2 linked regions of the Styela clava genome follow. The protein of the gene in region 1 interacts with the protein of each later gene in a pairwise test. Links are inferred from orthologs where the notes say so. Each region holds a gene or a part of one and is shown in the gene's direction. Other genes may lie near its edges.

What was found.
Region 2: the proteins of homeobox protein Meis1-like (region 1) and pre-B-cell leukemia transcription factor 1-like interact in binary tests that used the Caenorhabditis elegans proteins (3 or more experiments, as listed by UniProt). The link is inferred for Styela clava from reciprocal best matches to the Caenorhabditis elegans genes unc-62 and ceh-20.

Annotation. Positions count from the first base shown.
Region 1 is NC_135253.1:13,942,838-13,956,207, reverse strand, and holds the start of homeobox protein Meis1-like, read left to right. Parts: upstream 1-8,608; 5' UTR 8,609-9,230; coding exon 9,231-9,248; intron 9,249-9,555; coding exon 9,556-9,839; intron 9,840-11,356; coding exon 11,357-11,498; intron 11,499-13,167; coding exon 13,168-13,224; intron 13,225-13,370. UniProt on the Caenorhabditis elegans protein: Acts redundantly with ceh-20 and ceh-40 to perform overlapping roles during embryogenesis.
Region 2 is NC_135254.1:7,435,907-7,448,651, forward strand, and holds the start of pre-B-cell leukemia transcription factor 1-like, read left to right. Parts: upstream 1-6,321; 5' UTR 6,322-6,390; intron 6,391-6,762; 5' UTR 6,763-6,810; coding exon 6,811-6,837; intron 6,838-8,164; coding exon 8,165-8,340; intron 8,341-9,356; coding exon 9,357-9,430; intron 9,431-12,745. Other genes in the region: uncharacterized protein LOC120327068, read left to right, coding at 1,583-1,642, 1,754-2,082, 2,175-2,232. UniProt on the Caenorhabditis elegans protein: Transcription factor that binds to the 5'-TGATNNAT(G/T)(G/A)-3' PBC/Hox lineage enhancer region of sem-2 to promote cell fate specification in the postembryonic mesoderm (also known as the M lineage).

The DNA of each region.
Region 1 (13,370 bases):
TTTAGTTTTGATCCCTCAATTTGTGCGGTATAAATCACGCAACACAAATAAAAATCCGAATCGTTGTTTCATCTCTCCATGATTAATACGAGTTACATTTCATAATATTTTAATGGCCCAAGATTTCGCCCAAGAAGCAAATTGAGAAGATTGTTTGTTTATTTCGTTATTTGGCGTCACGACGGTGCGTCTATCAGTTAGGTTTTCAATAATTGCCGAACGAGATCAGACTAGTTTAGCAACCATATTTTCATTTCTTTTATTAACTTGTTGTTTGGCACAAATTAAGCAAATACTCGCGTATAGTAAAATAAAAATATTTGAACATTCCTATATCTTGAATAAATTTTACAAAACCTACCTTACTTACAGAATGACCAACGAGAATAAAAAATGTGTAGCAATTGTTTAGAATTGAATACACGACTCATTTTATCATTCATATTCAAGGCTTGAATATTGGTTTTCATTATTTACTGTCATTGAATTATTTTATACACGTCTTATATCAGTCAAAATATATTACTTTCATATTTACATGGCTGAATATTTCTTCCCGTAGAAAGTTTTGTCGCATTTTTAAATATTAAGTTTCAATATTTTTTCGTCTTCTATTAGGGATTTCAATATTTAATTTGAGAGTGATGTTTTCGCACCTTTTTATGTCATTATGAACAGAACATGTGCATTACCTATAATAATTTGAAATGAAAATTGTATTATTATACAAATATCAATATTGAAAATTTGTAAGATTTATTGAAATTATATGGGGATAATTTTTGTCACAATTTCTGGGTGTGAATGCTTCGGTAGATAACCCTGAAATTGATTATTATGTTTCAATGCAAATAATTATTTTTCATGATAACTTGATTCCAATAGTATATTTTACTAGGAAAATAACCCGCCGTGTATAGACGACGGATTTCGTTGTTGTTTTTCGTTATCTAATTTATCAGTTACAAGGTCGACATCGCATGGTTCATCTATACTTCCCTCACGTACAGCCATCTCTCCCATATTGTGTCGCCATATATTTTGTGGTTCGGGTTCAGGGGTGAAACACGCGTATAGTGAAAGAGCGACAGACGAGAGGTAGCACAGATAGCCGTGGCATGGCATCATAGATAATGATTTGGCGGTGAATTGAGCTGACAGGTACATAGAATACGCATTACCCCATCAGATTTCAAGTTTTTTTTTTGTCAGCAAGAATACTTTCGTCGTTACTCGCTTTTAAAATAGCACGAGCGTTCGAATGATAATCAGCATTGAATTTTTATTTTCGAGTAATGTAATTTATCAAAGGAAAACTAATCCGACATCTTTAATTCGATCGATGTCATTTTGACCTGACTTATTTGCCCTTCATGTCACAAGCTTTGTCAAATGATTTTCTTTTTCTTTTATATACTTCAAATCTTTCATTCTAGACCGTGAGTCGATTGGTGACTGATTCTTTAATAGACCATCCGATTGCATATGCTTTTTCTGTACGTCAGTAGTAACCTTTAAGGTAGAGACATTTTATTGTATAACACTTTATTTCCGTAATTTGTCGCCAACGTAATACGCACTGTAGCAAAGTTCAAAGGTCAGGTTTATGAGTAATTATATGAATAAAAGATTCAAAAAAAAACAATACATTAAATATGTTCATATTGAAATAATAATAATGAGTACTTGATTTATATTCAATTGCATTACTTTTTGTGATTTACGGTAATGTTACACACATACATCACCTAACACGATTTCTCTAAAAGTTTCAATATTTTTAGATAAATGAAAATATTATTATACAATTTTTTATTGATTTCAATGATACAAGATAAAAAATTATTTTGTTACTTGCATATTCACTATAATTGATAATGAAAAAAATGTTAAATCATTTATAACATCCATCCTAACTTCTTAATTTAACTTTCTGAAATATTCCATGTAAAAATACAGAATTTTCTCAGTCTTCCATATTTAGACAGCGTCAATCAATTTCAAATAAAGTACGCAGTAGTCAAATTAGTGTCAAAACTATAATACAACATGACGGTACGTTTTACAGTTGAATATTATGTAAATACATAAACCATGTTTCGTGGCCTGTATCTTGTGCTTGAGGACATTACTTCGTTTGAAAGTATCGAAAGCATAAGAGATTATTTTATTCTTGTATGAGTCGTTATTTGAAGCAGATTAGAATAAACTCGGAACAATATATCAAGTTTAATGCGGTTATTTTACTCATTTTATTCTGCCATATTTATTACATGGATTTAGTATACTGCACATACCTATTACAAGAATTTCTTAATAATCTAGTTATTCTATTTTGAAGAAAATCATAAAATATATTCAACATTTTATTGATATTAAAAATATAATGACTTCGCTGCAAAAAAACAACAATTTTTTCAAATTTTTTTTTTTTAAAACACCGTTTTTCATAATATTACCAGTTTCAAATTTATTGAACATGAAACTTTCATATATTCCCACCTAAAATTTGACGTTTAACAAAATTTGATTACCAAAAATTGGACTGATATGTATAATTTGAATAACACAATTAATTTTAATAACACAATTCGTTCTAAGTTGTGGTATAAAGTTATGCTTGTTTCATTTGGTACAAACTTTTTAAAGCACCATATTATGTTGTCTCAAACTCAGACGTAGGACAACCAAGTTGCATGGTTTTACAGTTATTTCCTCGCATAGGAACTAATAGTACTAAAATTAAATATTTCAGTAAATATTTTTTTCCATAAAAAGTTGTTGTGTTGATAGCACCGAATATACTGTAGATTGAAAAAATGGTAAGCAAAAATGCATGCTATTAATGTGTAATCATTCTTCAGGCAAAAATTAATTTTACAATTTTTTGCTGATATTATCCTACTTATCAGTTTGACGTATATTAATGGGATGAATCTATTATTCGATTTTTTTTCTTGTACAAGAAGCATGTGTGGACGACGACCAACACAAAACTTCAAAAACAAAATAGGCTGATGATGTTCGGTGCTGATTAGATCATTAGAATAATAAACTTTCTCGTTATCCAGTCACGAGCTGATTCTGTTTTTGATTGTAAAATTCAAATATCTCTTTATCCGATTGCGGATTAAACGCATCAAGGTGAAAATCTCTTTCCTAAATCATTTTTCTTCAGAGCATGATCAGTAGATGGGAGTGCCACATATCTATGAGCCAAATGTACTTTACGTTAATTTCTATTACTCGGTTGATCGTTTTTAGATATACCGAGACGATTTATTTCTTGATAAACTCTCGTTACGTTAATGTTTGAATTCGCTTTTTAAAACCTGTCAATCACTTTTACCACCCTGAATTTGACCAGAAAAATGTGGTTTCCATATATGATATAATACGAGCTTCAAAAGCGACATGTATTTTACAGTATAATTAATGAAAAATTGGATCATCATATAAAGATGTATTTCATGATAAAAAAAAATGACATTGCATAAAAAATCAGTCGAGAATTCGCCATCGAAAAAATTTATTAGAGTACTATTTCTCTATACTGATCTGCGAAGGCAAATTAATACACTCACAAACAAAAGCAAGATAGCCTATTTAAAAAAATACAGGCAGTTGCAAGCAAGAATTCGCAACACTAGGAGATACACTAGTTATAAATGGTTTCTCTTATACAACTCAGACTTAGACTTTTTCTTTTACCATTAAAAAAAGTGAATCAGAAACATTTGTAGTGTTTAATTTGCATAACAATAAGCATGGTTGTCATGTTTTATCTAATTATCGCTTGTTTTAACACTCATTAACACTCCTATTACCGCACTAGTTAACTTGTCACAGACTTCCCCTAATGTGACAAGCAGCAAACAGGGTCTGAAGACATTTTTCATTTGTCACATGGTTTCCAGCGTTTCCTCTTTTATAGGAAATCAATTTGGCAGGTTCATAAAATTTTTTGACAAAGTACCGGTTATATGTATAGCACGTGTATGGTTTGATTACAAGATCTTACTGTAGTTGTTGCAATATATTATGATATCATATACCCACACTTTTCGTAGTCAGTGCATAATCGGTGATATTTGTCTAATATAAGGTACAATATTCCACTGGATTAAACTCTAAATTAGCACTCTGTAGAACTATTCCATCAACTACTGAATACACTCAAGACGAGTGATATTGCACTTCTAACTTGGACGCTTCCATGCAAGCGAAATAAGATACTACGGATTGAATACAGGGCATGTATCATATCTCATATAGTAAAAGTGCACGATTGTCTTTTAATTATCTTGTGATCTTGTTGCATCGATTTCATCCCTACAGGAAGCATTTGATCATAAATCACGACTTAGAATTAAGGTTAAGTATTAGTTACACAAGTTGGATTTCAGACGTCACTTGATAAAATAGACGCATTTGATATATTTTTGTATAGGTTATTTTAATGGTTCAAAATATATTCGTTGTTGCGTTCTGGCATGCAGTTACTTTTTATTGGCACCTCATTAGTAAGCAATAAAGATGATTCGATGCAATAAAATCTCGATCGGGTTTTGTTACGAATGGAACATTGTCTTTGCTAATGGTGAAGCAATATAAAATGCTTGACAAATTTGATTAACTTTCCCGCCACGCCTATTTCGCAGTCTGATTTCTATGCTTAAGTATCGATTTAGTCAACAATAAAGAAATTGTCCTCAGTACGCTTGCATAAGACAATTGATGGGACAAAAACAACATATACTGTAAATTGAGCGAAACAGGGCAGCATGAGAAGCCGGTGCTACTTCACAATGATACGTTCCCATCAACAGAATCTGGTCAGCTTCGTTACTTCCTACGAACGCGAAGACGTAAAAAGGGGATTGCGTTCTGCTTTGGTATTTCACGCTCTACGGACTCGCTGTAGGGGTTGTTAATAGCCAAGAAGGACTTCAGCGAGGTCAACAAACGGTCAGGCGACGATAACGAGTTTCAAGAGCTGATAGAGAGTGGGAAAGAATTGCACAAACACATACCAACACAACAATTCATTTCAAAAACAAAACGAAATCGAGAACCAGTAGAACTACTTTGTTTGATTTTTATATGATTGTCAGTAAGCTCATTGTCGATTTTGACCTTCTTCAATGTTGAGGTTTTTATATGGGATGTAGATATAAGGAATATGGAAATTTATATATATTTTTTTGATTTACGCGTTCGAAATTGTGAATATCGCTTTCTTTCATATTGCCCATCTCTGGAAGATAGGCTTAAAGTTGTTCATTGACTTAACCGGCACTCAAATTTTTATTGTGCGTAAATTTTGTTGTTTCGGAATTATATGATCGAAACAAAATGGAGAAAAGTTGCAATGGTGAATTGATGAAGCGGAAAAAATGTCGATCGAACGCTTGTTTCCCCTTTCTTCACACTCATTGCTTTTACTTGAACTTGCGATCATACGGAACGATAACAAAATGGCGATTTTGCAGCGAACTAGGTAACTATATCTTGTAAATGTTTATTCATTGTGTAAATGGACGCCTACAGTCCATGTTTATTCTGGTAGCTTGTTTTACTTCTGGATAGACACGTCTATCATACGATAGTGTAACTACGTCTGCCGAGTTCACGTCTTCAACGATTCACGAGAGTCTCAAGACGCAGTCTGAACAGGGGAAGCTTTCCAGACTAAACATACTATCCTCGTATACGTACGTATACAGGTATAGCATTCTCTTATAGTAGTTTAGTGAACGTATATCACAATCAGGTAGCTTTATTTTGTTGTAACGTTGGTTGGAGAGATGTCAGCTTTGATTGTATATTACTTATTGAAATAACTTTCTTGTGACCATAAAACAATGTATCACAAGGGTGGTTACCGGGACACAGTCAATTTAGTAGGCTATCCTTATTTGCAACATAAGTCAAAGAGAAAGGAAACTCTATTGTATTGTATCAACTTAACGAAGGTAATCAGGTTTGTTGGTTGGTAAAGTGACGGCTTAGTTTCGTTGACGTTATTAGGGATAGCCTATGCAAGCTCGTAAATATCACATGTTGCTTTAACAGTACCAATATTTTATCTTTCAAAGTAAACATATTACGTAAAATTATATAATCTTGTACTGTAGTCCGGTCCCATGTTAAGCCTACCAATCACAAATGTATCAATGATTTTCGTACGATATATTGTCTCTTTTTTATGTTAATGAAAAGGATGTTAATTCAATATTTAGAAAAGATGATTGACCTTAGACTATGCTTTCAAAATATTCTATCTAACGAATTCTTTTAATATAAACGCAAACAGAGCCAAGGTGTTTGCATCCTGTATTTTCCCATGTTCTGTTCGATGCACCAGTTGCTGACCTTTAACATTCTACTTTCAGGTCAATATTTAATCTGATTGTATTTCACATTACATGCCTTAGAACTTTTATAACTCAACATTAACCTAATATTTCATGAGTGATTCAGTAATTTGTTGTTACTGTTGCATTCAAGCACTGGATTTATTTTTAACTCGGAAAGGCTGCGAATAAATATCCTCACCTATAAAAGAGATCGATTGGATGGCAAATAGGGTAAGTTATTTTTTATATTTTTGCTTAACATTATAGATCATGAAATGCTGTATTTCTAGGGTATTTAGAGAAGCTTTACACAGAAACGGTAAGATAATAAACATTTGAAAAAGAGTTTGAAGCAAGTACGAGTTGAATATTAGGCATTATAATTTTTGACTGAGAAAATAGATGGAATTGCAGCAATGTGGTTACATTCAGGAAAGTTTAAAACTGTATAAGTATGTTTAAGAACGTCAATTTTAGAAAATAAAGATATCTGCAGCTAACTTTGAATAAATTATGTCACTCAATATTGTTATGAAAAGAACAAACACTTTCGAAGCATGTATGTATGTTTATTTATTTCAATGAAAATAAATTTGCAAAAAATATTTTGCCAACGTTTTGTTTTACATGAAATATACTAGTATGTATTGAATATTTTGCAGCAATTAAGCATCGCAATAATTTGTTGGCATATTGTTATCATAATATTATAAATTTCTCATGATTGAATCGAGTTTCTGTTTTATCAAATCAAAGCAAGTATTCTCCCATATTTTGAATATTTTATCCTTGAATACATCAGTCGCCTTTTGCAAATTATTTTCATGCGCGATCAAGACGCGTTTTCATGGGTTTAGCTAACTGCTGGATACTTTGTTTCGATATAACGCGGATGCCAATCAACCTTTGCTGTTGGGATTATAAGGCTACTGTGTTTGGCAGAGGTTTTATCACAGTATGAAACTTGAAGTTCGATCTATGATGGTATATGTACAATAAAATTTCACTTCTTTCTGTAGTTAAATTTTTAACATGCAATTGGCAACATGTTTCAAAATCCATAATTTATTTTCATTTGTAACTAACGTTTTCATCGTTAGATATTTGATTGAATACTAGGGCAAAGCGGTGAAAATTTTCCCTGGAGTTCAAGTATTCAACTAACTGCTGAATAATTCTCTTTTCCATGCCTTCATATATCCACCATGTAATGTTGAGGTACACAGGTCGATTCTAGTGCGTATGATAAATGATCGATTTATTGTCTTGTACTTTACGACAACAGCAGAAAGAACGCTAGGTTCTCAAAAATTGACAAGCAAATGGCATTTGAAATTTAAATGGATTTTTGCGCCGCATAAAAAGCAGCACTAAAATTTTTTTGTTTTATTCCTAGTAAAACAATGAACCACCAAGAGATAGGATATTTAATTTGAAGAAAAAATGGAACATATTGCCTTAGGGAATCTTTTTTGATAAAAAATCGAATTGATTTTTTACCATTTTTTCATATTTTCACTCTTCATCTCGTATTTTTAGAAATTGATAAATTTATAATAATTATTTTGCTCAGTTGTGAAAATGTATAAACATGTTGTTCAGTCATCATCATATGTATATATGCAAATACAGTATATTTAAACAGAAAGGTATTCTGGTTTAGAATTGTAGAGACTGAAGTCTGTGTATTTTCAGGTTTCATATTTTGCATGTGTATTCCATTAACCAGTTCTCATGATAGGCCTCATGATATATATATTACTATTATTTTGGCGAACACCTGTCGTATCTCGGTTAGGCATTGTTATTTAGAGTAGATTATGCACCACGGCTATTGTACTCACTCACCTATTCTAATGATTTCTTTAGGTGATCGAGATAATCATGGTGTTAGACCGATCTAGGGTTTTATATTTGCATATTACGTTGGATTGCATAAAGCCTCTGGTCAACAAATTAATATGTAAAAGAAAAATATACACACTCCGCCATGACTTGTCGCCTTCTTCTGATTACGACGTTCGCGACACAAATCTCGAAGCAATAGATCCGCATTGCCCACATTCTTAGCGTAAGAGAGGAGTTAACAACAATGCGGTTGCGCTTCCAACTCCGAAAAGAAATGCCGCAATCCGAGCGTGAAAACTGACCACCGTAGTTCATCACCTCGCTGACACTGAGTCAGTCGCCTTTTAATATCTCAAACTTATAGTTAGTTGGCCGGAGGGGAGTGACGTTTTTATGATTTAGACGTGAAAAATTTGGGTAGCTTTTAGTTTAGATAACGCGACGATGGTTACGCTAGTGCGTGTAGTCATCAAAAAATAAGTGAAAATATTTTTAATAGAACGTGATACTTGAATAATTGGAAAGTTGAATATAGCTATTAAAATTGTCTTGATTCAGTTGTTATGCTCCATATACTTATGCTAGTTTTGGAAGAAGTAATATTTGTTGAAATATGCTGATAACGCAGATAGTACTATTATTCCAGACAAAGAACTAACGCCGTACCAATTAAAATGGAGTCGCTTTTCAGGCCAGACAGATCACATCTTTAAACGCAGGTACATACACGCACCTACGAATCTAGCAGGCTTTCTTTTTCTCGCACGGTTATGCTAATGTGCGGCGCGTGTAACATTTCGGCATTTTTGCAGTTCAATACGTGACAGTTAATACTATTAGTGTACCTGTGTGTTTTTGTTACATTATCGCGCATGCTAATACACCTGGACCAGCAAAGCACGGCATTCGCGGTATTGTCATAAACCGGATTATATTGCCAGAAGTCGGACAAGTAGCTTAGAATCGAGGTGGAGAGTCAAGAACCACAGAAAAGTGAGAATTGAAGAAGGAATAAAGGCTCAAATGGCCGCGACAGTTTGTGTGAGTTGCGATGAATATTGGAGTTGTTATAGTCGATTGTCGTTTTTTTTTTGTCTATTTTCGATAGTTGTGCGTTGTGTAAAAATTTTGAATCAAAAAGGTAACGTTTTATTGAAGTCGAAGTTGTTAAAAAAAGCAAATATCATGGAAGCAAGTCGAATTTAATTATAGTTAGCAACCCGTCAGCCATTTTATAAATTTGTGACGACAGCATTGAAGAATAAACTTTTTAATGTAGAATAGCCGTTTGACAGTGTTTATGAATAGTTGGGGCTGATTCTATTTAAAGCTATAATATACTTTTTAGTATGACGATCATATGGGCCACTACAACGGCATGGCAGCAACGGATATGAGCACAAACAACTCGGTAAGCGGAGGATTATACAACGGTGAAATCAATCGGTCGATGCCGCATATTCCGCACATCAATCACGGTGGATCTATGTCGCATTACCCGGCCTCTGCGCCTATCACTCCTCAGTCAAACTCTATGCATAATACACAAGCACCTGGATCATCAGGCATAGACGATAGGCTAAATGACACAGAACGTTTGAACATGAAACGTGATAAAGACACAATTTATTCGTGAGTTTATTTTTTATATTAAAATGTCACAATATATTTTGTTAGCTCCATTTTACAGTATGGAATTTTTAAATACAAATTTTGTTTAAATGTTTCCAAAGATATAATTTTTAATCGTATTATATATCAATATTATAATAATATCAAATATTAAACATGACAAATATACACTATTTTACCTATTTTCAACTAATTTATATTTATGGGTTCGTCCGAATTTTTTTATTTATTTTACAACGAGATTCTTTCTTCTATACATGCTAAAAATATCCCAATTCTTCAGAAAAAGTATTTATTTCAATATTGAAATACTAAACAATCAAACAATGAATGCCGTAAAAAAATATTTCCAAAATATGCAAAATTCATGCCACAAGTCATGATCACAAACCGAAATAACCCGAAGCGCTGAAATAAATCAGTTTAAAAATATAAGAAAACGTGGTATTGTTAATTGACTAAATTGTGTAATAGATAAAAGTGGACAATCGCTTGTTTATGGTGGTTGATGATATTTTCGTTTTCTTATCGTTATCGTCTTTTCGTTTATTTGTAAATTGGAGCATGAATGCATATACCATCATCGTTGAAAAATTAGTCGCAAAATTCATCACGTTACAACAATATATCTAAACGTTTGGATAATAATGACGATAAATACAAATATGGCTAAATAACCTGACACGCACATGAATGCTTCAAATTATGTATTCATGCCAAATGTGTAATAATCATATTATTGCGTGTCTGCTACCGAATTACATAACTATCCCTGGCACGACTCCTTCAGGATGTTAAGATAGTTTTCATCATTCGTGCCAAACAATATCACTTAAAGTGAGACACTATCACGAATATGTATGCTAGTTTATATTTATTATTACCTCAGATAAATTTGAATATACTCATAAAGTAAGTAGTTAACGTTTAAAGGTATACTTTGTTTTAATGAGACTTTTAAATACAAAGACAAACTGGGGAAATAAGATAGTAAGGCCATCGACATTCTTCTATTGTTTGTCGCACACTTTGCCGATTTTGAAACTAGGGCACGTGGAAACGCAAAATAAAGAATAATCACAAATCCGTGGCTAATCTCCGCATCAGATCGGAAACTGTATTGCACCGTACAATAAAAAGATTTAACTAAAGTGTGATCTATTTCCGATAGAAAAACTCTGATGAGATTTTTATTTTCATTATGAATGACAGACAGGAAATATGACTAACACTTGACTGTGCAATTGAATCAAAAACGTACAGATTAATTTTTGAGGTGAAACACAGTTTTAAAGTGTTCCTAATTTTAGGCATATTCAATATTATAATCCTAGCATTTTATTATTGCTTTATCAAAGATTTTATTTTATATATATCATGTACACACAACGACGAAATAGTAGACGAAATAATTCAAAAACGTAATGATTGACTGCTTATTTTTATCTATCTTCTCAGCTCAGAAACTTATGAAATTTCTTTCAGTATTGATGTTAACATTTTTTCCTTCTATTTAGACATCCCTTGTTTCCTCTACTAGCACTCGTATTTGAAAAATGCGAACTTGCAACTTGCACACCGCATGATTCTACCGTAACAGCCAGTGATGTATGTTCCTCAGATTCCTTTAACGAAGATATTGCTTGTTTTGCTAAGCAGGTAGGAAAACTGCATAATGTTATCACATGCTAATTAAATTTAATAGAAGCATGCTACTCTGTCAAGATTATATTAGACGTACTAATACATTATCCTTGAGTGCATATGACGACAAAGATTTTGTCTTTTCATATATACGCCACATTAGTTGTGTGTGGTATTTTATCACAGTGGTCTTGTTCTCCTTGTCATGCTGACTATATAATTTCGTAATCTACATTTTTCTTAATGGAAATGCATGCAAAAGAGTTTATAAGGAAGATAGTGTCACCTTGAAAAATATGACCTTAATGAGCCCTCCAAATTAAATTTTATTGCAAACTTGTTCTTCTGCTTATATTTATCCATATGAACGAATAAATTAGCGTAATTAATTTTATGTTTTGTAATATTCCTATTTGCTCCATTCATATAACGTGGATTTCTCGATGAATGAGCGTTGCAAATTATTATGACAAGTCGGCCATGTTGGTTTCGTCAAAACTGACGGCGATCCTCTTTTATAACCCATCACGATATCGGAAGCAATGCAATGAAATATCTTGGTCGTTCAATATTTCTGGTGACATATTGGCATAAACCTTGTCATGAACTTTGATAACACTTGCATTTTGTCACGTTGCCTTTGTCGTTTATGGACAAGCTGTAACCAATATTTCTGAAGTAACCCAAATATTGTTTAATATCGAGACATTGTCTCGTAATCGCGTTTTTTACTCCAAATTTGCTTTTTTAAATAATGTTTATTAAGAGTCGATATGATTCCGTCCGTGGCTGCTTGTTCACCTCTTGTAACAAAATAGAAACAACAGTAGATTCGGCAATACTTCATTTTCATCTAGCATAATTGGTGTACTGAAACAATACAGAAACAAGGATAATAATATGTGTTTCTCAAATTCGATGGTCCGTATCTGTGAATGAGAGTGTGTCGACGGTAACGACAGAATCAAATTGTTATCGCTCTAATCCAACGTGCAAAACATTACAACTCTGTTAATGGGTTAATAAAAAGAGAAATAAATCTGGAGTCGTCGATTGTGGATTCGGGGTGAAGGAAAGGTCGACTCGGATTATGACGTTCCAAATTTGGCACTTCTCACTTAACAATCGTCACCTCCGGCAAATCGCAGCAGTGCGCCGTAAAATCAGTACGAGTTATTGGCTTCTCCTTCGCTCCATCATAATGATATTGTTACCACCATATTACTTTCAATTATTCCTAGCGGTAATAATTGTTCCGCACCCATTTTCCATCGGATGCCCTGTTTGTAAATCGAGCATGTCGATTCGCAGCCGCTGATTATCGCCAATTATCAATTTTTATTCACACTTCTAATTACGACTCACTGCCTTCTCCGTTCAGTTACCATTCTTCTGATTTTTTCCTATTGTAATCGAGTGCCAATTTTTAATCGAATAAACGAACAGCACCGTCACGGTTTCAAATAGATTTCCAGTTTAATTGTATGGATATAGAAAACTAGACCAAATCGCCGTTGGTGGATCCCTGCTACACTTTCCATGAAATCGTTAACAATAACATTTTGTTGATGACTTGGAAACAGTCAATAATTTCAACTGCTGTGAATAATTAGCGGAGTTCTGTGTCATCAGTTCTTTGTGCAATATTACTATACTTAACACTTAAAAAATTTTATATTCACAGATTCAAAATGAAAAAAGACCGATATCTTTCGACCCAAACAATGAAATTGATAATTTGGTAAGTTATGCAATGCTGAATCTCTTCTTTCTGTATTTCCTAACCGTTGTGAATGAAAGCTATAAATTGATTACCAGGGTATGACGACAGCATTGCAGATAAATGGCTAACAACAAAAAGGCAAACTTGGTACATAAATCAAAATA
Region 2 (12,745 bases), on another chromosome or scaffold:
CTTATCGAACGTTATGTTCACGGGTATTCAAATTGGATCTGAAAGCTGGGGTTCAATATTTGATATTGGATTGGATGAAGACAAAAATGGAAGGCTTGGATACTCGTGCTCATTTGTGTTCGGTAATGCTGGATGAGGTTCAGATATCCAGAGGAGTCGACTACGACATTGGCATTAAGGAGTTTGTTGGTTATATTAACCCTGAAGTTCTTGGTGGAAAACCTCTAGACACGTTTGCCTCACATGCGCTATGTTTCATGGTTAAGGGAATTTCTCTGAAGTGGAAGCAGCTTATAGGTGGGGTGGAATACTCTTTGTTTTGCTCATTATTTTGTTGTTTTCTATCAAACATAGTAGGCTATTCCAATTTGCTGTGACTTCTCAGGTTATTTTTACACCGGAACTTCTGTGAGCGGAAATGACCTATGGTGCTTAACCAAACAAATGATATTAGCTCTATCAGAACGTGGATTCACGGTGGTTTCTATTGTCAGCGACATGGGATCCAGCAATCAAGCAATGTGGAGAAGTGCGGGGATAGTTTCTAACAGGTTTGAATAATTTTAAGGATGTGATATCCGCGTATACATATATCACGAAGAAGCCTATCCATTACAATTTACACCATATTAACTTCTCATTGCTTACTCTATTTTAGATTCGAAGTGAATTGGTCTGTGCCTCACCCTGCTTTCGAACATAGGAAACTTCATTTTATTGCCGACGTACCGCACCTTATAAAAAATTTACGAACAGCTTTTATGAATCATGACATTGAATTGCCAGCATCTGTCGTTACGAAATATAATCTTCCGACAAAAATGGTGAGTATCAAAAATGTGCTTGATAAAAATGCGCAGTAAGTGTATTATACCTATAGGCTAAATCTAAAATTTATCTAACCACAGGTTCGATTCTGTTACGTTGAGAAAGTGGCAGATGAACAGAGAGAAAAAGAGATGAAACTTGCCCCAAAGCTCACGGAGAAGCATATAAAACCTTCAAAATATCAAAAAATGAGAGTTGGTCTAGCGGCTCAGGTCTACCTGTATTTCAGTATATTTCTACCTATTTAAAAATATTGAAGTAACAGTATAAAAGTCGTAATTTCACATTTTTGCTGAAATAAAATATTGTTAAATCATTTTTTTTCTTCATAAACCAATGAGTTAGAATTTTACATTAAACTCCATCTTTCATAGGTTATCAGTCATAGTACAGCATGCGCAATAAAAACGCTTGTGGAGAGTGGCGTACTGCCAAGAGATGCTTTGTCGACATCATTCTTCTGTTCATTCTTCAACAAATGGTTCGATATTGTAAACGCCAGGTCCATTGATAATGCTCTGTTCCCTAACTCTCGAAAAAAGCTCGATCACCTTATCGAGGTCTGTTGTAAGTGACACATCATATATATTGTAAGTAAAATCGCATACTAAACGGGCACCAAATATTTTAGGTGATCGGCGTCGTACAGAATTTAGTATTTCCAGGAAACAAATCGAAGCCAATTCAATCCGGTATTAAGTTATCAACAACTTCGATAATCGGGCTTCATGCTGACATTGTGCTAGGCGGAAAAATGAATTTTTTACTACCTGGAAAACTAACACAAGATGCTGTAGAGAATTTATTCTCTCAGGTTATTTTTTGTCTTATCTTTCAGTACAGCGATAGAATATATTAAATAAATCGTAATTGCATTTATATAGTCGTATGGTGATCTCTGAATGAAATGTTTTTAACATCACAGGTGCGAAGTAAGGGAAATTCGCATCCGAAGGCATGTCAATTCCGAAATGCAATAAAATTAATATCGGTTGGTCAGTTTCTCCACGTTCCCTCGAGTGGAAATTACGACACGGACGACTCAGAAAACTTGATAACATTTATAAAAGAACATAGCAATGCCTCATATTCTTTGACGAATGATGAGCCACAACCGAACATCGAAATCAATGAAGTGGACGCACTTATTGAATCTGCAGTCGTCTGCATGGACATTTGCGAGTCCAACGGGCTTTATTATATTTTAGGATGGGCTGTTTTTAAAGAACTTAAAAATATAGAAAAATGTGAAACGTGTGAAAAATCATTTTGTAGGCAAGAATATACGATCAATATGAAGGATTGTCCCGAAGCCCTTTTAACACTTTTTAAATCATATAATAAAGACTTAATATCAACCGAAAATTCGATGCACCTGATTCATCCATCACTGTCCCTGCTTAAATATTTTCAACAACTGGAATCTATTTTTCGGCTCAACATAAAAACTTTAAAATTGCAGCCTAATCCAAAAGCATTATTAAAACAAAAAATCGAATGCTTAAGACGACCATTGTTCTCCAGTTGCCATAATTTAATTGAAAAAATTATAGATAGATACATTCTCTTGAGAATGCGAATTTATGCTAGGAGAGCAACCCAAAAAAGTATATGCCACCAATATGCTAGCAGAAGCGCTGCTCGCGCAACAAATATTAGGTAGTCAAAGACCTGTATATATATTTTGATTCCATTTTGAAATTTTTTGATTGTTTTTAATTTATTCGATTTTGTTAGGTACTCTTCGATGTTCTACTTCATCAACGTTACGGTTATCATTAATTATATTACACGAATGCATTTATACTATTAAAATATATTTTCAGCTAAATTCCGTCGGCCACTTACATATTGTTCAAATATACAGTATATTTTTGTCCTAGTGAACTATGCGTGTTCGACTGTTTGTTCCATGCGCAAGAGTAGTTACGCGTGTTCGGATTTATAGCAAAATAATACATAATTTGATAATAATAAATCCCATTTTCACAAGGTATTTGAATTGTGTAGGGTTTTTATTTTAAATAAGGACTTGGATCTAATTACATAAAATCCATTGTTGCGTCAGAATACTTGCATTGTTAAGCGTCAAATCGGTATGTCGCAATAAAGATCTCCGAGGACCTGATCGAAAAATTGCACAACGTTGTCTCTGCGGCCAATTTTTTTGCAATAGATAGTGTTGTACTTCATATTTTATTACATATTTACATAGTTCATAGCTTGGCGTTGAAAATCCACCCTTCGGTTTCAGTCTTGCTCCACTAACAGCTGAGTTATTTGATTCGGTACAACAACACGACGAAAATTTCCCATAAGACTCCATTGTTTCGTGTTTTCCAAATATGGCACAAGATGGCGTCCATGGACCTGTTTAACATTAGGCAAGTTGGTTGCCGGCCCTTGATATAAAACAAAGTCCTTATATACCTAAGTTGCGCAACAATGGAAATTGGCCGCCATTTTCGATCAATATCGCCTGCGAGGTTACGGCGGTTCTGCGTGATCCGCGGCTAGGCTGGTGCCTTCTGCTATAGAATTAAAGGCTGTTCGACTCTAATTGCAGCGGGAATAGCAAAACAGTGCAACTATTGAAGCTATCATCAGATGCAGAGAAGGAGGAAATGGGAAAATAACTGTAGGCGACGTAAAGGCTGGAAATCTGGCCCAGGCAGTTCCTTGAGTGAGGTTAGTCAAACGAATGGCCTAATGTCAAACTAACACCAGGAAAGATAGGTGGTACACAGTTTTAGGATGATGTCATATTTAATTATTTATGTCACGTTGCCGATTCGACTCATTTAAGTTAGCTCTGACCCCAGGAAAGTTGAGTTAAATTAGTAAGATTTTCTAAATGCTGGCTTCAGATGTCAGGTCAGCAGGTTAGGGAAACTGTTTTCAAATCTTCCTAAGTAATGCAAAGTCAGAACATTGCATTGAATGTATCAGATTTATTGTCACGATTGTTTAAAGCACTGCAGTAACAAAAATTTATAGTAATTAGCAGCAATATGAGTAGACAATTCGGAGCTTAGTGGAAATAATGAATTTCTGAACTGAATGCGTGTTTCGTTAAGTCACTGTCAATTATATTTTGTGTTAAAATGGGATGCTGAACGCTTGGTATTTCGAAAGTACGTTCATTGTGTAACCTACAACTCATTCCTTTTTCAGACTCACTTTTGAAGAATACCAATTTGAACCGAAGAGTACGGATAAATGGAAAAAATTAAAATAAAAGGGAATGACAATATTCGATGTGCCAAATCCACCAAAAAATTCAAATCATCAAGAATTGTATCAACTAAAATATTGACTGAGATGAAGTTTCAAAAAATAACAATAGGCCTACAGTGAGTTGTGAATGCCAAAGTAAACTCTAATTGCCAGTTTGAATGTCTCGTAAATCATTTCTTAAACGTTTTGGGTTTGATTGAAACAGCCGACTCCAGGACGAACCAGTTGTGTCAGAAACTTATAATGTTGGGTCATATAAAAAAGTACAAAAATGTGAAAATTGGGGGGGGGGGGGGGCATTTCCCTCTAATCGTTTTTGCGATATGAAACAACATAACACTTTCATTATAACACGGGGGTGCTATTTTTTTGCGTTTTTAATCAGCCACTCGTATGTAGTCGCCATCGCTTGGCTGACATGGGCAGTTCAGAGCTCGTGATGACCTAAGATGAGGAAGGTCGGAATGAAATATGGGGCTAACCGTCACTTGGTACACATACTGCTGAAGTTTCAATTATTGTACCTTTTTCATTTCTTTGTTATTTAATTGTTAAAATTTTAATTGTTGATCAATCGAATAGCACTTCTTTTCTATGTCTTTCATATTAAGGTATTTACATGCTATTCTTGATCAATTGAATGGTCTTTTTCTCATGTCTTTGATAGTTGATATGAAGTATCATTTCTTTTTATTGGTTAATCAAATTATTTCCAAATTCTAGACTATTAGTTTGTTTGTAATGGTTTCATGAATCATACTGTAACACCAAAGATTTAAATAAAAATGTTCACTATTCCTATGATAATCATTGCTCGCTTTGATTTGTAGACACGATTCCCAAGATGTGAATTATTGAATTTTTCTATTGATTGATCCTCTTGTGTGAGTCAGAAACATTTTCAAAACCCGACCTGCTAAAACTTATTGATAAGTACATTATAAGTATTAACATTCTTGGAGTGCAAGGTTGCAAAAATCCCAAACATATGTATAAAGTTCATGCAATTTTTAAACATTTTCAGATCATGACAAACCTATGAATAGAATTCCTCTTGCCCTATCCAATGTGTTTCTGTGTAATGTGTATGTCCACTGGGTTGCACTTTATTTTATTTGTTATTCACGCTCAGACACATCCTCATCACATTAATTTTTTTGTCCCTGATCCACTTTGTGTTTATAGCCAATTTTTTTTTTTTTCTGATTATTATCGTCCGAACCCCATTGAATTCAGGTATCAGTCAGGTATAATTTTCCATCACATCCCCTCATTTTGTTCACAAATTTATTGTAAAAATATTATCTAAATAGTTCAAGTTTTGCCATTAGTCATCTCTCAGGGTTAAACTTAATATTGATCACTTCGAATAGATAGACTAGAATAGATATTCAAGAATGAAAAAATTCCAAATTGTTTTTTGCGTTTTTCTCAAAATTGTGGCTATGGCTATTTTATTGATGACTGTATTTTTTGGTTGACAAAATATTGAAATCTCTCTCTCTCATTGTACTGCCATTGGTAAGAACGTTTACAACTCAGTTATGCAGCTGGAGCCTGGAGTGTCTAAAAAGGGGCGAATTTCTAATGTAACATTGACATCAATATTTAGCTACAGTCCCATTTGACGTCGCCTTCACTGTCGAAAAATTTAGTTAGTTTTAGTCATTTAGGCCTGTTGTAGTGTGAAACTGTGTTTGTCTACTATCCTAATGGAAACATCATCACGGAGGTCTTGTCACGCCATCGGGACGCTTCGGTTGTCAGTAAATTCCGGACGCCAGACGTCAAATCCGGGACTGTCCCTGCCATTCCCGGGACGGTTGGTAGCCCTAGCATCAGCAGGTCTTGAATAGTTTAAGATTTTGCCTACTTTCCCGATTTTCCGTAGGCTATATGAGTGTGTGTTGACTTGCATTGCCTATATATTTGTTTTAGTGTTACGAAAAACCGAAATAAACTTTACTTTACTAACCGTGCGTTGCGTCTATATTATGTTTGTTACCGAGCGTCGTGGGTTTTTAATGTAAATGCCCCGACATCCTATCGGATTTCTGCGCCCTCGGAATATAACTACTGATTTAAATCTGCCCCAATAGCCTTTTAAAACTACTAAAATTAGGCTTGTTTGCGTTACACTACTCGAGCCGAATGATCGAAAATGGCGTCCATATGACGCCATAATGGGACAAGTTAGTTGCACGGGGTTGATATAAAATAAGAGTAAATTCTAGTTTGACCACAAGTGGGCACTCGAAGTGTTTTTTTCACGCGCAAGTCGGTCGAAGTTGCGCTTTGCTGCTTCAAACTTTTGTTGCTTTTCGGGTAGGATGATATTTACTTTTGTTTATTTTGGCATATTTACTTATTTTGGAGGTTCTGTAATACCAAAACTGAGGATCTAATTTAGTTTATTAACACGAACAGGGACCTATGGGTCGTTTCATTTTTATGTAGTTGTGCATTTGTGTGAAAAAAACGCTTTTCTCATTATTTTTTTTTGTATAAAGTGGTACCGTAATCTATAAAGTAATACCGTAGCCTACTTACAGACTTATGTAGGTCAGGTAGATATCCATATTGGATTTTTTTGGTATGTAATGAACTATATTCTAGTGGCAGACTGGAGGTTATTTTTGTATTTAGACTACAGATTTAGTTCGTTCTTTTCATTTTGACATAATAAGTAATTTTCAGGATTTTGGATCTAGCAAAATTAAATTGAAGGAAATTCTGTGGCTACAAATGGATGAAGGGAATTACGGCAGCCAGGTGAGTTGCTCAATCAGTTGAAAAATGACTTTGCAAATTCTCATTTTGATTAATATTCTAATACTAGTTACATGTGTGTGAGTGTGAATGGTTTGATTCAATAGTTTTAGGTGAATGAACACGTACCACTTCTTTTTGGCAATACCCGTACCTTCCATCTTATATTCCAGTATTCTGTACGTTTTAAACCTTATCCAAGGTTTTGTTTACTCTGCTGATTTCATAATCAGTTTTTATTTATTTGTTTTTATCAACCGTTTTATGCCTTTTTGCTGATTATGGAGTCGAAATAAACTTATCTTATCTATCTATATCTGTACCGGCATAATCTCAAATGATATTGTCTAGTTTTCAAGATTTCACTTTCAATTGCTTACTCTAAGAGTCTATGCTGTTGGTTGTCCTTATGTAATCTGAAAATTTCGAATTACCCTTAAACTTGGATTCTAGATTTATAGTCTAGTAGAACTTCTGCATTAAGTGCATTATTTTTGCCCCAAAAAGCATGTGGCACTTAATTTATATTTATCTAATACAGTATGGCACAGTTCTTTGAGAATTGGAAGACCCCACATTGAAAGACATCAATTATAACAGTGAATGCAAACCCCTACTTTTGGCTTCGATAACAGCAGTGTAGCTTGGAGAGTTATGAAAAAAAATGCTATTTTGGTCCAGATGCCTTGGTTTCCGAGACAAATAAAGTGTTTGTTTTATTGCACCAAATGTGGGGACATTTTTGAATCAGGAAACTGTGCCCTACTGTAATTATGATATTGGTCTCATCAAGGAACCACGATTGTTCAAAAACACTTATAAATTTATGAAAGTCGAATATTTCTGTGTTTCATTGAAATCGTGGCTTCATGTTGCTCAGTGCAATCCTTATGCACATATCCACTATTCAAGCGACTCATATTTTAATTCATAATAGTTACTAGAGTAGAAATTACTGCTTCACACATATAGGTATAGGGAAATTGACACAGTCCACTGAAAGAGAATCTGTCGCCGAGCTACCAAATCCCACAGAACCCCAATAAGCGCTTCGTGGAAACAATGTTGAAAAGCATTGGGCTACAGTGTTCACTATCAGCGCACTTTTTGCAAAAACTGCGAGGTACTTTGGCAATTCTTTTTGAGACTGTGAAATTGTTATGACACTAGATACTACACTTGAAATTCTAATACATATCCCCTGCCAGTTTGATTTGGCTGCAAAATTGGTGAAAACGTTAAACACAATATATGTCTTTGGACAAAAATAACCCTACAGAATCAGCAGGGTGAATTTTGCATTACTAACATTATTATTTTGCGTTCCCAGGCATTTTTGCAAGGGCAAATGCACGGAGGTGGAGATTACAATCCACGAGGACAACAAGGCAACGATGTAGATTCACAATCAAATATTCTACCTCTCGGTAGAAAACAAGACATCAGTGATGTTTTGCAACAGATTATGACGATTACTGACCAAAGTTTGGACGAAGCTCAAGCCAGGTTATTTTGGAAATTTTATTTTCACTCTTGTGCTGATGAAACTTTTACAAGATGTCTGAAAATATGTTGAATAAATTTCTAATTGTTACTTATCGATCTTAAGATCGGTAAGTATGTTGATAGGTATTTGTCTGTTTGTCTGTTAGATGAACGCGATATCTCACGAACGCGTGGTTGAATCTGCTCCAAATTTTGCATGTGCATGCATCTTACCTCGGACCAGAAGCCTATAGATTTTGGGTTAATTATGTCGTATAATTAGCGAGTTATTAACTAATTACCGATCTAAGATCTATAAGTCTTCGGTCTCCGACCGATATTCTCGTTTTCACTTTATTTACACCTTTAAATCTGTAGCGGGAAATCTCAAACTATGTAAGGTGGTGGTAAATTAGGTGTCTTAGGATGTTTGCACCAAACATGTCTGCCTATATGGTACATTATGTTGTCTATCTATACCAGAGGAGCAAGATTTTTGCACCAGGGGCTAAACAATTTTGCCCACCTAGACTAGCGGGCCATGTAAGTGTGACATGAAACGTTACATTTTATGAACGATATTTGCAGTGTTACAATATTTGCAGTGTTACAATAAGCCTCATGCCAAAATCAAATTTAATCGTAATCTCAACAAATTACTTGGGTTATGTTATTTTTTGGATAAAACATCAAAATTTGGTTTTAGTTTATTTGTGGCTGCATCAGGCGGGCCAGATTGAATTACCAAACTTACTTTGCCAATGTCAGATCAATACCCATGTTTGACTGTTTTACAAGTTGTGCTCAAGGCTGGGATTTAAACTATAAGAATAAACTTAGTATTGATAGCTCACCAATGAATCGAATATTTGAATATAATATGTTAAAAGTTTTCAGGATATTTTTTATTTGCTTCCTGGGCCGTGGATATGCTCCCATTCACAGCCAAAATTTTCAAGTTTTTCATATGCTGCGTGGTTCTCTTATTTCTATTTGCTATAAATTAACTTATTAATGCATATTATTCATGTTTTCAGGAAACATGCATTGAATGTTCATAGAATGAAAGGAGCTCTGTTTCAAGTCCTTTGTGAAATAAAAGAAAAATCAGGTAAGATGAAGTACAGATTGTCAGATGTTTGACAGGGAAATTTAGTTGCTTACTAAAGTTGCTTTAGTTGCAAATTGTCTGAGATACATTAATAATGGGGCTCCTGAAGTATGCGAACCAAGATGGTGGACATCGGAATGTAATATGTGTACTAGGTTAGGGTTAGGCCATAATTTTAGGTACAAATACTACAAGAGGCACTTGGCTAGTCTTCGAACTCATAGTAGGACTAAAATAGGGAAAATTGGAATAAAATTATGGCCTAACTTTAACCTGTTACCCATGCTACGTTTCGATGTCCGCCATCTTGGTTCGCATACTTCAGGAGCACCTTAATAATAATGTTCGTCAATTTTTGTCTCTTATTTCTGTATGTAGCATGATTACAGTGATGTTTTAACAAGATCATGTTAATGTCTGAGAATAGCTGGATTATGGGATGTTCTTATGGCAGTGGTCCCCAAACTTGATTGACCGGGGGCCAAAATTATAAGCGGAAGGATGCGGGCCAAGAGAGAAAGTGCCCGCAAGGGGCCCATACCCGTACCGGTACATATAAATAACATATCGATATATTTGAATTGTTACAATAATATAATGATGATCATGTAACAATTTTGTGGTATCTTGGAGGCAAAAAGAAAAAACATAAAGTGTCTAACTATTTCACTTAAGTTCGGCGGGCCATATTAAATCGTTACAGGCCTTGATTTGGGAACCACTGGTTTATGAGATGTTTTATTCTGTTTGAAATAGGCTCCACACAAAATGTAATGGCAGATTGTATTTGGATGAATTGTATCATTGGAATCCACTTTCATATATCTTTATAGGAGTAGTCCGTGTCCGCCGTTGACGAGTCTTTTCGGACCTGGAGCCCCGTGAGGGCGCTGGGGCACGGCCGATCGCATTCGCTTTGTTGGGGCCGTAATCATTTTATAAAATATAATATATTTCTTTTGATTGTAATTTTCAAGTCACTAATATTCAAAAATTATCTAACGCTTTTTAAAATAAAATCAAAATTTATTCGAATTTTCCAACTGAATCATACCAAAACCAAGTGAATAATTTAAGATGATATTCCTTAATTCCTTTTATGCTATAGAATTTCACATTTCGATCATCCTTGCTTTGAAGTTGGCTTAACGAAGTATTAACTTTACAAAAGTCTGATTTAATCCGGCAGAGAATGTGTTTGAACTTGTGAATCATGCAATTGAACTGTGTTATAATTGTAATTGATCAAAGCAGAAGATTAACAGTGGATTAAATTCATTTAATCGTTTTTGAGAAAATTCATCAAGTTCATCCAGAAATGTTAAACAATATTTGAAATCGGCTTTACATTTTTTTTATTTTTTTTGGGAGGGGATGCAATAATCAGTGATTATTTATTAACCACAGTTTTAAGAAATTAAGAAATGGAATGAAGGTCTTTTATTTATATTGTAAGACTTCAACTGCTCAATCTGACAATTTTAAATTGAAACTAGTCCAAATTATTCTTGATACCACAAATTTAAAATATTGAATATAAATAATAATTATCTATGTTTCCATATGTATATTAGATTAGATTAGGACATGATTAAAAGAGTGATGTGTTAAAAATAGGGATGAAAAATAGGGGAAAGATTAATGTTATTTGAAAAGATATATAGGGTGTCCATAAAGTCTGACTTTATAACAAAATTGAAATTGTAATAGGACTTTATGGACACCATGTATTTCAACTATATATTAAAAATATTGAAATCACACTGGCCACACTGATTACACTAGATCTGTATCGAACATTTCATATGCACATTACCAACTATACCAATATTGTTAGTATACCCTATAATGTAACATAGCACTGAAATTTGACCTTGTATTTCCTATGATTTTGACAAGGTTAGGAGACTTTCAATATCTTAAAAACCACAATTTCGACAGCCTATGCCACTCCTATGTTGTTAAAATGGATGGCATGCCAAGATTATAGTGGCACACCTCACGATTTGGAGGTAAAATTTCATGATAGTGTCATTCATTGATATAATCTGATGTTCTTGCTTCTGTCATCCTCAAATTAAATGTAAAACAATGTGCTTTATGATCAGATAATGCCAATTGTCTTGATCATAATCTCTCTTCTTCTTGTCGAAGTGACTTAATCTGTGTTCCCATTGAGTTTTTATCAGTTTGTATTTTGTTGCAATTTTACTCATAACATTTTTTGCAATTTGTTTTATTGGATTGTATAATATTTATAACTCTTTTTATAAGCTGGTGTTAATGATCTTGCATAATTCGTAGGGGAACACTAATTTTAATCTCCACTTCAGACTGTGTATTAGATAGGATTCAAATGCATAATCTATTGGACTTTAATTTCAATAAACGGATCAGAGACTGAAATGATATGAAACATTTACTCTTCTGATCAAAAGGTTATATCTAATATCGGATATATATCTAATACCGAACAAATTAAATTTTTGATAGGTCTGATCAGTTCCTAATTTCAGGAATAATTTGGGGTAGGGCCGTAGTGTGTGTACCAGGTCAGAGCTAGGTCATAATGTTATTACGAATACCCTTATTTCAGTTCTATTACGAGTTCAGGGACTGTCTGTGTTAGCCAGGTTGATATACCTCTGCCCATAGGTTTTCGTCCCTTTACACAACGCGATGTAAAGTAGGCGAACAAAATTAGTTACCTCCATATTGGTACACACATTTCCGGAGCGCCTAATTTGGAATATTTTCACTTGGAATTACCTTGTTCCCTTGTAGGTGATTGGCATTTGGCTGTTAGACTAAAAATAAGCTTACTCTAATAGTACCATATGATATTTTTATTCTATATGATTTTTTCATTATTTCTATATCATCAAGTTTAATCTGTATGAATATACAAGAATATCTGTTCGATCTTCGTTGAATTCAAGTTCAAAGTTAAAGGAAGGAAGCAGACCTTGGTCGCTTTCAATATTAAATATTAGAAAATATTATTTGTAGACGTAGTATAATTCAAGAATAAATAGTCCATATAGATAAATATTTATGACATTATTTAACAATGTGAGATGCTTGATTTGTCTTTTCGCTGTTTTGATTTGTCTTTTCAAAAAATCATAGAAATATGGGGTGTCCATAAAGTCTTAAAATTTTTTAAATTGCGTAGGAATTTCTTGATACCATATGCTTTGTTTTGGCCCTCACAGATGTATTGAATGAAGTAAAAATACTGATTAATAACAACAAACCTGGTCAAGATATATTGAGAACTTACTCCATAACAAGATTGAAATTGTAAAAGGACTT